2 linked regions of the Nothobranchius furzeri genome follow. The protein of the gene in region 2 interacts with the protein of the main gene of each other region in a biochemical or structural test. Links are inferred from orthologs where the notes say so. Each region holds a gene or a part of one and is shown on either strand. Other genes may lie near its edges.

Evidence for each region.
Region 1: of the proteins of pttg1 (region 2) and anapc11, one has a biochemical effect on the other in vitro, tested with the Homo sapiens proteins (3 studies listed by BioGRID). The link is inferred for Nothobranchius furzeri from reciprocal best matches to the Homo sapiens genes PTTG1 and ANAPC11.

The regions. Positions count from the first base shown.
Region 1 is NC_091744.1:6,779,406-6,786,190, reverse strand, and holds anapc11 (anaphase-promoting complex subunit 11), read right to left. Parts: upstream 4,404-6,785; 5' UTR 4,054-4,403; coding exon 3,945-4,053; intron 3,354-3,944; coding exon 3,208-3,353; 3' UTR 3,085-3,207; downstream 1-3,084. UniProt on the Homo sapiens protein: Together with the cullin protein ANAPC2, constitutes the catalytic component of the anaphase promoting complex/cyclosome (APC/C), a cell cycle-regulated E3 ubiquitin ligase that controls progression through mitosis and the G1 phase of the cell cycle.
Region 2 is NC_091741.1:85,724,405-85,732,296, forward strand, and holds pttg1 (securin), read right to left. Parts: upstream 4,414-7,892; 5' UTR 4,315-4,413; intron 3,775-4,314; 5' UTR 3,769-3,774; coding exon 3,684-3,768; intron 3,605-3,683; coding exon 3,471-3,604; intron 2,951-3,470; coding exon 2,869-2,950; intron 2,442-2,868; coding exon 2,277-2,441; intron 160-2,276; coding exon 80-159; 3' UTR 17-79; downstream 1-16. Other genes in the region: septin6 (septin-6), read left to right, coding at 4,953-4,982, 6,561-6,675. UniProt on the Homo sapiens protein: Regulatory protein, which plays a central role in chromosome stability, in the p53/TP53 pathway, and DNA repair. Probably acts by blocking the action of key proteins.

The sequences.
Region 1 (6,785 bases), on a different chromosome or scaffold from region 2:
CACCTTTAAAGAGCAAGTCACCCCCTACCAGAGCATTACTTCACTCCCACTTCCTGTTTGAAAAATGCAACAAATGCTGTTGTCTAGCTGACTGAGAGGATGGAGCCGCTCATGGACGTAATTGGGGGGGGGATGTCCCCCCCACTTTTTCCAAAGTCAAGTTATGACCCCTGCACTTTTTACCATCCAAAAACAATATTACGCTATATTAAATTGACACTGGTTGAGCTCTTGGACCAAGTGGAAAACAACCGTCTGTTTCCCATTAGAACATACTGTAAAGATACAACCCCACCCCCCCCCCACCCCCCACCCCCACCCCCGTGTCCCCTCCACTTCTAAAGTGAAAATTACGTCCATGGAGCCGCTAACAAATACACACACACACAGGCTCACAACGACATTGTGACATCATATGGTACCAGCTAACGTTCTAGGGTACGTCTTAGCCAATAGCGATGGCAGATTTAAATTCAATTGCAGTGCAGAGTTTTTACCTGACAACGGCACAACACTGACAGTTTTAGGCAGAATTTTGAAATTCTATTTAATTTAAATTTCAACTAAAATGCACTAAAGTGCTAAACTGTTGACTACACGTGTCTGCAGCACGATTAGATACGCATTTATATTCCGGACTCTTCTTCCAGCTCTTGGAGAGTACAGATACTTTTTTCTCCTCTCCCTCCCTCCTCATCCCAAGGCACTTTGTCCTGTCTTGTGTGCACGGCGCTTTCTGCATTTTTTCTGGAAACTGGAAATTATTAATAATGGATCTGGTCAGTTGGTCTCTCAACGCAATTGACAACAATTTTTCAACGATGAGAACGGGAGAAGGAGCTCCCGGATGCCCCTCTGGGACAGAGCCAGCTGGGTATATCATGGACTCCTGGAAAAGGTGGAACATGATATGCCTCTCTCAACTGTCTGTAGAGGATTCTGAAGATGTTTGGATATTTGTTGTTTTGGGGTCGGGATTCCTGCTGTTTGGCCTGAGCGGTTGCCTGGTTTACCTGAAAATTAACGAGCGTTCGAGGAATATTGGCTCAATCCCGGAGCTCATGGATGGAATGCATCGTGCTGTGAATGCACAAACTCATAAAATTGTCAAGATGAGTCAAAAGCTTGGAACTTTGGCTGAGATTCAGGCTCTGGCACAAAAGGTGGATATAAGGAGCGAGTGGATGGATCAGCATGGATTGGGATGGATTAATTATGCCATTGTTGGATCTAGAGGGGTTGAAGACCAACAAAACACTAAGGCAAAGAGGAAATTATTCTCTGTCTGTCCCCAAAACAATTTTTTTTATGAATCTGGTGCCCTTGGAGCCTGTGAGGCTGAAGTGATAACTCCCCCTCAGAAGAAATGTGGAATGCTGCCGTCACTATGGAAACTCTTTCTCCCTATCCCAGCCTGGGCGGGACTGTGACCGGTGAAGGCCGTGGAACCGTATCTAGGAGTCACTGTGCCCTCTAACCCATTATCTCCCTCCCCTGTCCAAATGGAGGTGACGAGCGCTGCCCCATGCGGCTGCACGCACTGAAGTGAGGAAAGTCCCAACCCTACCTCCCCACCTAGTGGACACTTATGTTGAATAATGTCTGAAGTCAGTGTGCATTTCTGTCTGAGGTGTATTTTTGCATAGCAAAGCTGTCCCCTCTGTGGAGGGTAACTCTGAAGTGCCTTTTTTTCCCCTCCCCCTGACTCTATCCTCATATGAACCCTCCTGATCTATTACTGTAGCGCGACTTGGGCTGCGAATGACCACAGTCACCAATTCTTGTCATGTGTCTATGTATGTATGTCTGATCTCAGAATTGTGTATACTAGTGCCCGACCGATATGCTTTTTTGGGACCGATACCGATATAAAACTTTTAACAAAGGCCGATAGCCGATATAATGGCCGATAAATCTCCCTCACAAAAAAAAAAAGAAAAAATTATTTTCTTAAGCTTAAACCTTGTTGCAAACTTACTTCTCTATTACACACCAAAGAACTGTCTCAATAACTCACTAGGGTTTCCAAGTAATGCAAATAAGATTTATTTAGCAGATCTCAAAAACAACAGAACACACAAACTCAGTCACAGCATAAATCTAACATTCAAGTTTTTTCTTGTAAACTGTGGTTTCCACAAATACATTTTAACTTAAAGGAATATTCCACCACTCAGTAAAATTGTGTCTTGTTAAGATTCCCCAGAGTTAAAGTCAGAAAAAGCATTTTATAACCAGCCCAATATGATCTGGTTGCAGCTGGTTTTCTTAGTTTAGCATAAAACAATGTAAGTGCATTCACATACATTGTTTTTTTAATGTAGGTGAATGCAAGCCTTCCCTTCCATTGCTTTATGCTAAAACGACTGTTTACAAAATGTTTTTTCTGACTTAGCTAACTCTGGGGAATCTAACAACACACACAAGTTTAGGGACAGAAGATCCCTATAAGAATGTTAAAATAATAAAAATGCAGCAATAAATATAACGTAATACGTGTGCTTTGTAACAAAGTAACACTCAGTGGAAGTTAACTTGGTGAACTTATTCACCCTGGACAGTAAATAATTGCACATAAGAAACATAAATAAGAATAAATAAATAAATAAGTTCCAAAACAATAATTTGTGTTCAAAGTTCAAAGGAGTGGAGACACACAACACGAGTTCATAAAGCTGGTGCCATCTGCTGGATAGGTAGCGCAATATCGGCCACATCAGCCGTCTTTTAGGCCAATACCCCAATATCGGCCGGCCGATATATCAGTCGGGCCCTAGTGTGTACAGAAACTCTAATTTCCCTCTGGGATTAATAAAGTATTTTTGAATTGAATATAGTTCATCAGAAAAGAAAGTTAATTTGGGGGTGACTTGCTCTCCAAGTACCTTTCTGGTCCTGCAGTGTCAAATCTATGATGAATATTTTTTTCAGCGGACCCTTTAGATACTGCTGTATAAAACTTATGTTTTTGTCCTTTATTTGACCATTTCCCCCTTTTTTTTAAACACAAACATCAACTAATTGAAAAGAATTGCAGTTTGAATCAGTCTGATGCAGCAGTAAATCAACAGCACAACAGCATAATTCATTTGTTTAGATTTAATCACAAACTTAACAGAAAAATTGTGCATCAGTGTAGACGAATACAACTCTTGTTATTTACAGCTGGGATAAAAATGTGGGAATTCTGCAAACAGATGAACAGATTCACTCCTTAAACTTCCATTCCTGGCGGCACATCGGACACTGCTGCTGCACCTGCTGTGAGTTCAGCCATTTCAGGATGCAGTGCATGTGGAAACAGTGGGAACACTGACCCCAGACCAGTGGGCAGTCATCTCCAGGAACTTTACCTGCAAAATGAGACTTTAATTACATTTTATTAATAGTCACTGTAAAAGGTTGAAGAGAACCTGCTGAAAAATACAGCACAGCTGGTTTGGTTTCCAGCATATGTTGTGCTTTTGTACTGGTACTGGTAAGATGCTCCACCATGTAATGCTAGTCTAGCATGGGATGCTGGACCAGCATTGTATGCTTGTCCACAAGCTAAACCAGCAACCTATGCTGTTTTTGAGATATGAGATGCAGACAACAAACATTCATAAGACCTTTCTTAAGGTGCTGTAGTAACATTTTACAGTTTGTTCTTCTACTGATCCAAAAGATGAAGGATGTTTTGTAATCCTTTGTCACTCAGATGTACCTAAATAGAATAAAATAGATCGTTGTAGGCCTCAGTTAGCCTTCCAGATCTCATTAGGGCAGGATCACCCTTAACAGCAAACATACCCTGAAACATTTTCCTTTCAGCAGCTCTGTAACAATAGTTTTAAGCTAATGTAAGGCATCCTATTCTAGTTCTGGACATTTAAAATCTAATTTTAGGACATCGGATTTGGTGCTACTTTCGAACCAGAACCCATCCCAGCTCGGTTACTCACACTCCGGGCAGCAGCCGTTGAAGGACATCCTGCAGATCCCGCAGTTTTCGTCGTTGGCCACCCACAACCAGGAGGCCACCCCGTTCCACTGCCTGATCTTAACTTTCATCCTCAAACCGCACTTCAGGTCCGCGAGTTATTCAGTTTCTTCCTTCCGACATCCAATAGCAGTAAAATACAACTTTGAAAAAGATTTGTTTTCTGCAACGTAAGGCTGTGTCCCGTTACTTCCGGGGTTGGCGTTCGTCTCACAGAAGCTGCATTGATCGCCACCAAATGCACTTTTTCCAGATTGAAATATTTACCACAGTTCACGGAGCAGCTACCAATGAGCCTTAATGATTTGCAACAACAGTAAAAACGTATGTTCATTAAAGTAAATGCACACACTTAGAATCAAATTAACTAGCTTAGCATTCTTCTACTTCTGTCATCCGGTGTTACAACGAAATATGTCCCTCTTTAGAAAAAGTAATTCTCACCTGCTACTCTGCGGTGTTTTATTTGCAGACATGCAAAGACATGTTGGCATGGAGGAATAACATCTCAGAAAATATACTTAATTCAATAACACATAATTTATGTACATTTGACAAATGAGCGATCACATTTTCCTGAGCCTTGAGGAAACTTAATTGTGGTACTAACCCATCTGTAATCCCCTTGCTAGAAAGGACCCAGATTTTTTAAATAACATAATTAAGAAATTTCCTACAAATATAATTGCTTAAAATGATAATAGCTAAACTCAGCTAGCTACGGCGCGACAAGCGCAGTTTTAATTGACTTTATATGAATAAAATGAGCTATTGCCGCCCTCCAGTGGCGAACAGTTGCAACTACATTTTGGTTCTGTTTAGAAGACATTTATTGAAGCTGTTTTTGGCCTTTTCGGATTATTTGTGTTAAGGAGAAGACGCATGAATAAATGAGGAGGGAACTATATTATAAAGTTACAATAGCTATAAATAAAAAATTAAATATGAAATATTTTTGAAAAGTTGGCAGCATTTGTGATTTTATCAATAATACCTAATTTTAGAGACTTTAATGAACCCATCTTTAAATTTTGATGCGTGCCAAAGTCCATTATACGTTTTAAGAATACATTTGCCATTTTAGTTTAGTGATTTTGTTGTCTTTAATCTGTTTTTAGAAATAAAAATACCTCAAAGCTGTAATCAGTAAGGACAACCATAACACCTCAACATTTACACCAATACATTAGAATTCCTTAAACCTGTCATCATCAGGTTAATCCATTCATTCAATCTGATCGTTTTATTGTAGTTTGAATTTTGTGTTATTCCTCCTCCACCCAGAAGGGGGCCACAGTTTAACCAGGAGGCAGAAAACAGGCCCTGTGGTTAGCTTCAGCATGCTTCTAAATGATAACCGTTGAGCTAGCCGTTCATTCTGAGTGGTAATATAAGTCACCCAACTTGCTTTAGTTGTTTGTTTTTTCTTTAATTTTTATCTTAATAGGAGACACTTTAAAGAAGGATATTTGTCCAGCAGATAAAAATAAGGTAAGGAGGACGTTTTTGTCTTAGCTCGTTGTTGTCGTCAACTAACCAAACACTGATGAGATAAGGTTTTAGCAAAACGCTCAATAGTCTGTCTTATTACGTCTAGGAAATGCATATCTAAGTGAGTTCAGTAATTGTACAAGTCATCAGAGTAAAATCAATTTAGCTAGCTGGCCTAGTAACGGGCCAGAAGGGACCAGAGGCATCAAAAGCTGCTTAACAATATGAGTTTAGTTTGAGACTGGTTACGCCAGTTAGCATTTACAACACGCTAAGAATCGGGGCCCTAAAAAGGCTAAATATGTCTTGTTCCCTTGAAGTTAAGGATGCATCTGCATTATTTGACCGATCTACTTATATCAGATTAATTCCGCCCAGATCAATCATAAAGTCTTGGCTAATACGAAAATCTAACGATCCAGACACTTAATCTGACCATCACTAGTTGGATTAAGTTTGTTAAATCTATTAAGATCTGAATCATGGAAGGATTCCAATGTGTTTGTTTATGTAAATAGCTCAAAAGCTCTTGCTCACATTGTTTCATCAGGTTTTTGCTTTGCTTTCAGTTGTTGGTGTCGCTGTGAAAAGATGTACTCAAACTGGTCTGAGTACAAGAAGCATGAAGGTGATAGAAGTTGGAGAAAGCGGAACAACAGTAACAGCAGATGGGAAGGAAAGTTTGAAGCCCAAATCCCACGGGACTCCTATCGGGGAGATGGACTCAGCAGCACCAAGATGGGGAGCAGAAGTCGAGAGTACATCGACTCTCCGAGCATATGGGCCAGTAAAGATTCACCAAACAGAGACCGGACCAGAATGAGTCCAGTGAGAAGACGTGTGTCCTCCTCATCTGTGTGGGATGCACCTGAAAAGAGAAGTCGAAGGTACACAGAGGATGACGACAGTGATGGTCGATATGGACATGAGTCTTTTGACCAGCTGCTAGGAGATAGTTTCTCACATCATCAAAAGTCCAAGGATTTCAAACACGCACCTTCACGTAAAGACGACTTCAGATACAGGAGGTCACCTTCAGATTTCAGATCCAGGAATTGGCGGGACGAGTTAGCGCAGGAAAAACGACAGGAAGATTTAAGCGACAGAAACGTTTTAAAGCGTTCTGATGGCAAAAGGAGACAGGAACATCCTCGGGAGAGGACTCGTTCACCAGATCACTTTATAAAGGTTAGTCACACATTTCAGTGTTTTGCATCAGGTTAATAACTGTTTAATGTTGAATTTTAATAAACTGTTAATTAAATATCTACATATCAAACAGACTTATGTCGATAGAGAGAGGATGGACAAC
Region 2 (7,892 bases):
TGCATGGCAGATTAGGAACAGTAGGTAAAACAACTTTATTTGAATAAAATGACAAACACACCAAAAAAAACAAAACACACTAAAAGTCAACAGGCTCTGGAGGAAGCTCTGTCAGCTCATCAAGTGTTTGTAGGAAATCCTCCAGCTCCAAACGCTCATCTGAAAATGAAGACAGTATGGTTAATGATGTGCTCCAGACTCAGGCTTCAATTAGCTACTGCACACATCTATCATTACAGAGTGCTACACACTGATTTAAATAAGTCTTAAATCACAAAGCTACACCCAACATTTACCTCACAGCCACAGATTACCCTGTTCAAAGGTTCTGCTTTTATGACTCAGATGATCCATCTCAGCTGGCCAATAATCTGTGGTGAATTCATAGTTTCATGTGCTTTCAATGACCGAAACAAATTTACATATTTGGCCTTGACCAATATCTTTGATGTTATTCATTTGTTAAGATCAAGATGCATTACAGTGAACATTAAAATAAAGTACATGTTTCTAGTGCAGAGAGGAGACAACCCATAGAAGCACTGATTTTATCTCATTTCAGAGAATAGAACAGGTCAGATGCACCTAATAAATAAAATTACTAACAAACTCAGGAATCTGTTTCTTTGCTTCACTGTTCTGGTGCTAAAAATATCACTAATGCAGATCAAAGGAGATACAGATTAATGCATCTTATTTGGAAATTAGTGTGTGTGGTTTACATCAATACATTATTTTAAGTCTGAAATTGATATGGATTGATCAGAAGTTGCTATGTGTGTTTATTTTAAAACTATTTACAGAGCAGCCTCAGAATTGAGATTAAATATTTTTGATCACAATAGTAAAGGAACTATTACAGAACCAGTTTCAGTAAAATCAGAATATTATTCAAGTGCATGAATTAATACATCTGAACTCATGCAGTAGGAACTAGGATATATGAAATACTAGAACCAGACACAACTTTTTTAAATTTTAATTTGATTAAACTGATTTGTTTCCCAACATTGTTGGCATTTTTCCCTATACACAGTTAAACAAAACAATGTTGATCAAGGTGTGTGAGAGAGGGAGAAGAGTGTAAATATAAATTTAAAAAACCTGACCGGAGCAGAGGCAGTGACCAACGCATGCACGAGCAGTTTTTCGCTCCGTCTTGTCAAATGCACCATGTAAGTTACGAAAAAAGTAAATTTAAATATTGAACTGAAAGAGGCGAGCTGAAGAAAACCTAAGGAGTACCGAAGAAACGTGAACAACAGTGAAGCAAGCACAGATCCGTTACGGTCTGTGTGTGCGTGGATGCCTGGGCCGAGCGGACTGAGCTCCCGTCTCAGCTGCAGAGTTGTGTGTAGGGAGGGGCGGGCGCTCTATGTGTCTGGCCAACCACAGAGCGTAAAGACAGTTACCCAATGAGGATTTTCCTTCAGCACGATTACAGATATTTACGAGTTTTACACTCGTATTAGTCAAAAATGCTTTATCCGTACACTCATCCCTAGCTGTAACCACCCTGCCTCCTCCTTGCTGCCTGCCAGCTGTGATCACAAGCAACAACACAGTAGTTCCTGCTGCTTCTTCGGGAAACGGCGCAAAAAATAAATAAAGAAATAAAACTTGGGACCTTGTAGGCGTGGCAGTGGGATTTTAGCCATGGTGGGCCGCCACGGCTACGCCTATGTAAGGGAAACACTGGGATGCATATCAGTGATCCAAACTCCCTTCCCCGTGGGCCGGTACGTTTTACTAGTTTCCCTGCTTCAATGTGCCTGATTTTAATCAGCAGGTGATTAACAGGCTTCTGCAGAGCTTGATGACAGGTGATTGAAGTGTGTTGAATGAGAGCAGGCGTAGGCAAGCCTGGTCCCAGAGTACTACCACTCATGTTTTTGTTGATTCACTTGTTCAGCAGCTCACCAAGCTCCTGCTGATTAAAATCATGTGTTGGAACAGGGAAACAACTAAAACATGCTGGATACTGGCCCTCAAGGAAGACAGTTACCATTAGAGTATGTTGTCTGTTAATGCTTAGCTCGACAATCATTGTTTGAAAGAGTTTCACAAAATTGCCAGATTATCCATCATTATGCCACGAGGGAAGATGAACAGTTCAGGAATTAAAGAGTCATATTCAGACATTTAAAGTCAAGAGTTTCTATCAGGTGGGCTAAGCCATCATCAGTGGTCTGCCTTTTAGAAAGTTGAGTTAGAAATCAACTTAGTAACTATGAAGCATAAATGCAAACAGTTAAGAGTAAATATTAAGTGCATACCTGAATATTTTGGCATCTTTATGGGTGACAAGTCTGGAAGTGGAGCCATCTCTGTCAAATCCTCCTCACACAGCTTAGAAAGAGTTGTGGGAAAACAGGCCAAACCAGGAAGTGCCAAGCAGCTAAGAGGGATCAAGTCCTCAGGGACGCTGTACCTCTCAAACTCTGGGAAACATTAGAACCTTGTTTAAAACATGCAGAAAACAGTCCTCCGAGCACAAGACAAAGCAATATAGAACATTAAACTTGTCTAAAGTTTCTATAGGAAGGAAATTAGATCACGTGTGTTGGAGCCTCTTTTGCAGTGTATAGATGCTCAACTTTAATAATGACCAGCTTAAGTCAGATGCTGGTGGAAATCTATTGAGTTTGTAAACTAAAAATCTGAGCAATTATTTTGAGCAGGAATTTTTATTTAGTGGCAACAATGCGGGGAACTCGTACCTAGAAGCTTGATATTTCTACATCAGCCATCTTTTGCAAACTATTATACACTGTGTGTATAATAGTTTGCAATTGAGGGGGAAATAAGTATCGACTTCACTGAAATGTATTGTTTTAGGCAACTGAATAAAAGTCAAACTCAATTTACCCAAGGGGTCATACGGGATAAACTTCTCAATTTCTGGATATTCCTCAATTTTGGTTTGAGGAGCAGGCTCGACTTTGTTTTCCTATTGAAACAAAAACAAAACAAAACATTGACTTGGTACAACAAGGTAAAGAGAAATGGATGGCAAAGATCTGGGGCCTCATTTATCAAGCTTGCTTACGCACAAAACGGGGTCGGAAAACTGCGTAAGCAACTTTCCACGCAAACTTTGGGATTTATGAAAGAACTTAGCGGAAAAATGTGCACAACTTTAAGTTGACCAAGGACCTTGCTTACGCACATTCTGGACATGGAGAGCACCTGCAGTGCTGCTGCTGAGAATGATAAAATTATTAATTCCAGCAGCATTATCACTTGTACCACTTTGTGCTCACACAGAATAAGCAACAAGTACATTTTTTTTGCTGAGCTTAAGTACAGTTTTATTAAGGATTCTACGCAATATTTGATAAATTAGACCCCTGAACTTTTAGTTTAGTATGGCATCTTAGCTGTGATTTGAACTTCATACAAAAAGATGCAAATAATACTTTGTCAAAATATTTTTTTATGCGTGAACTGAAGACTGTCCAGAACCCAACCTGTGGCTTCAATAGAGTCTTCTCCTGTGCAGAGACTGCTGGGGTCAAAACCTTGTTCACAGCTCCAAAAGCTTTACGACCAAATGGCAGAGGTGTTTTAACAGATTTAGCTGCCTCTGAATTCAGAAGTTTCTCTGGTAGAAAAATAAAAAAAATGTGAACTCACATCCAACATCACCTGCTAACATAGGAAAAATATTCAGTTCAGAATACCTGGAGCAGACTGAAGTCGCTGTCGCATCTTCAGCGAAGGCACATGAAGACCAGCATTTTCTTGCTCTGCAAGGATGTTTGCCATTTTTATCTGACAAACACATGCAAACGTTATATTCTGCACCAAAATGCAAAAACGTTTTTCAAAACAGCAAAGCTAAAAGTGAGCTTTGTAAACTTTCAGCAGTGGGGGAAAAAGGCAAAACAGATTTAGCCAAATCCTAAATTAATTTAATACAAGCTTATTTGTTTTAAACTACTTTAAATATCTAGTTTGAAGCCTTTAGCAATTATTTTATAGAACACTTATCCAATCCCAAAATATACATTTTATTTCAAGTTAGTCACCTTTATTTACTGAAAACAGATCACCTGAGTACCAATCAAACCTATCAGAAATTTTTGACAAGTGTTTATTTTTTAAACTTTTCCCGAACACTGACATACAAACGTTAACAACGGTTTTTTGACCGCTAAACAGATATTTAAAAAAACAAAACAATCAAATGTTAGCTTATATGCTAGCGCTGTATAACGTCTTAATCGTTCGCGGGTTTATGGATATTATCTTGACCCATTCAAAGAAAATAAACTATAAATTTAACTTGAACTGCTCTCTTTGATAACTCACCTCTACGAAACACAACCTCTAACTCAGTAGACTCGACCTGACCGTGCTGCTCACTCGGTTGAGGTTAAGAAACTGTGTACGAACGAACGACCGCGAGCCAATTTTAAATTCACGGCATCCTTCCTATTGGCCAATATCACGCACGTGACTAAAATAGGCGTCGCCTACTAAGTGTTGTTAGCATTGAAGATTAATTGTGAGTCGTAACACCTGATTTATTTACGCTCATGGCTACACATGCTTTACAAAATTGTCGGCCACTACTATAAACTAAACTAATTTGTTTCAGGATGTTATGTGTGTCTGTGTGCTTCTTTATTTTATCAAGTTACATCACATCTGCTCACTACCATTCATATCAGACGAAACCATTAAAGCATTCGATGGGGGACTTTCTTTATGTGTTATTTTATGTCTTCTGCCATCATTTAGAAGCCGCTTCTGTTAATAGAAGTCATCGGTTTTAACAGATACATATGTATTGTCATTGGAAGTTCAGCTACTACCTTTATAAGAAATGCGACATACTTTGATAAAATGGTACATTTCAAGCAGGCCAGGTTTCAGCGTAGCGGCGCAGCTTCCTTTGCTGAAGTCAGAGCGACAGTGGGTTCGTCCTCCGGCTACTAACACTCACCATGGCGTCAACTGAGATAGCAAGGCAAGCCGTAAGTAGTCTGTTTGACTCTAAAATCCATTGTATGCATTTATTACATCTTCGATATGCTGGGAATCGTTTCAACTTATTTGTGTAACGGGTTATTTTGGAGTCGGTTAGCTTGCTAACACCCGTGTTCACATTCGAAATTCACCATTGCGTTGCTAATTTAGAGTCTGTTTATAATAAATCGTGTTTTTAGATAACAAATTATGCATCTAAAATGCTCTTCGTCTGATGATGTTAAATCAAGGCGCATCACCTCGTGCATTTACCTTTCCGGTGAAACAGCTTTAGCATTGCATTTGCAAATGCCCTTAGATTTCATGTGGTGTTTATTTGAAACAAATGCATGGCGAAATGGCACATTGTGTGATTTTAAATGTTTAATTGAGTTTAGTAGGTGCTGGATCGTTAAAAATGACGGATCCACACAGATCGATCGGTAGGCCATTCATTCTGAAAGCCCCCGTTTCAGCACAACCTCGGTGCTCATTTCCGTTACCGTGTTTTATTTAGGAACCCGTTAACTTTCACACAGGCGTTGTCTTGATTGCTTGCAAAACAAAGACAAGAGTTCAAGACTTGTTTTGGAGAGGAAAGGGGATTTTACACACTCCTTGTTATCCAAGCTTGTTTTTTAAGTGGGGAAAGGAAGCCACTTAACCCAGAGGGAGTTCTTAGAATAGCAAGATAGTGCAGTTTGATACCCCATTGTGGCTCAATGAATGAAACCGGCTGTGTGCTTCTTGGCTGTGAGCGTCATGAAAAGCGAGGATGATTTCAGGAATGTTGTGCTTGCATTCTCAACATTAAACAGGCTGTTTGTTCAGTTACATTAGTCCCAGATTTCTTCAGGTCCTCAGCTGTTCAAACCCAGCTTCAGAATATTCCACGACTGTTCAGTGACACCAGAATGTTTGGGTATTTTAAATTTACAGAGTATTTTTCGCTCAAAGTCTTTGTCAAATTGGACAACAACACTGTTATGCTAAGCCACATAATAGCCGGTTGTCTGAGGTTCAGCTGGTGGAGAGCTTTTGCTTCTGGCATCCAACGTAAATTCTTTGCTTCCCTGTAGCTCTTGATATAAATGTAGGCAGTAGAAACGAGAATCACAGCGATCGGGATGCTTACTACCAGCTAAACACCCCCACACACTTTTAACAGCAGCACGTTGACCCTTTTTTTTATTTTTGATGTGTGTGTTTAAAAGTATAGCGGAAGATTCATCTAATCCCAGTCACAGAGCTGGCTCTTAAGCTTTTAATCATCATTAAATGAGTTTTTATTACATTTGCTTGGATCTTTCTTATCTAGACATGAACAGCAGTGTCTTTCCATATATGTACACAGTGGTTTTGAACCGTCTGACGGAAGAGAGCTGCTGCTGAGAAAACAGGAAGTGAATGACTTCACCTGAACTCAGGCTTATTCTCTTAACAATCTCTGGTGGAAAACATGGCTCCATCATGGGGCTTTTTTTAAGTGCGTCTTAATCTTGTTCTGAAATTGCACCCAGACAAAACCTATCATTGTAAAGAGACCAATTAACTGATAGTTGTTGTTGATTTCTTTTGTTTTTCAGGGTGAAGGAGTTCGGGCTGTGCCTCTGGCCGGCCATGTTGGTTTTGATAGCATGCCTGACCAGTTGGTCAACAAGTCTGTCAACCGTGGCTTCTGCTTTAACATCCTCTGCGTTGGTAAGTGTAAAGACCATCAGCATGGAGTTCAAAACTTGGTGATTTTATTTCCACGCAGCACCTTCATGTGGTAAAACACAGATCAATGAAATTCATTTATAGGTTCAGTTTACCAGTATGAGGAAGATGCTCCTGGTTTTTATAGGAAGTAGGAAACACACACACATCATAACTCAGGCAGTCTTGTTTTTTGGATCTTCTGCACACTGAATGGTGCATGGCCTGTATTTGATATAGGGCCTTTTAGATTCCTGGACCCCCCCCCCCCCCCCACCACCACCACCACACACACACACACACACACACGAGGCGCTTTACAACACAATCAGTCATTCACCCATTCACACCCAGGTGGAGATGAGCTACGATGTAGCCACAGCTGCCCTGGGGCACTCCGACAGAAGCGAGGCTGCTGAGCACTGGCGCCACCGGCCCCTCCGACCACCACAATCAGGCAAGGGGGGTTAAGGGTCTTGCCCAATGACACAATGGCAGTGACAAACTGAGCAGGGCTCAAACCTGCAACCTTCCAATTACGGGGCGAGCACCTAACCTGTGCCACCGTCACCGTGTGAAATCTGTAAAGTTCCCTTTAATGTGTTTTCCTGTCTGGGACCTGTCAAATGTCCAGAAAACAATAGACTTTTGTCCTGCTTTGAGTTGTTTAGGACTATGTTGCTTTTTTCTGCTGAAGAATAAGATATAACCTAGTTCTGTGCACATCAGCACACAAAAGTATTAATAAATACACTTTTCTCAGTTTATAGTCTTTGTTTTACGGTTTGCTCGTTTATTCCATGCACAGTGGTACACCTGCATACACAAACAGTCATGGTAAAGGGAAAGAAAATCACCTCACAATGTGTTAGCTGCTTGTGGATCACCCCACTTCCCATCCTCTTCCTCCCTCTCCACGTTACAACAATAGATGGATTATGTAAAATAATAAATTGTAGGAAGTGTGATTTATCACAAGCCATCAAAGATAATGTGTACTGTAAACAACCTTTGTAGTAGTTACACACTGCTCAAACAATTTAAAGCAACACTTTGAAAACACAACAATCATTTTGAGGGGAAACATCCAGACGGATATCCATACTGAAAAGGCAATGTGTAAGGAACAAAAGGGTGCCTCATCATTGGGGTGGAAGAAAATATTGATACACTGAAATATCACAGTATTTTGTGTCGTGACACTGAATCGGCAATCAAAG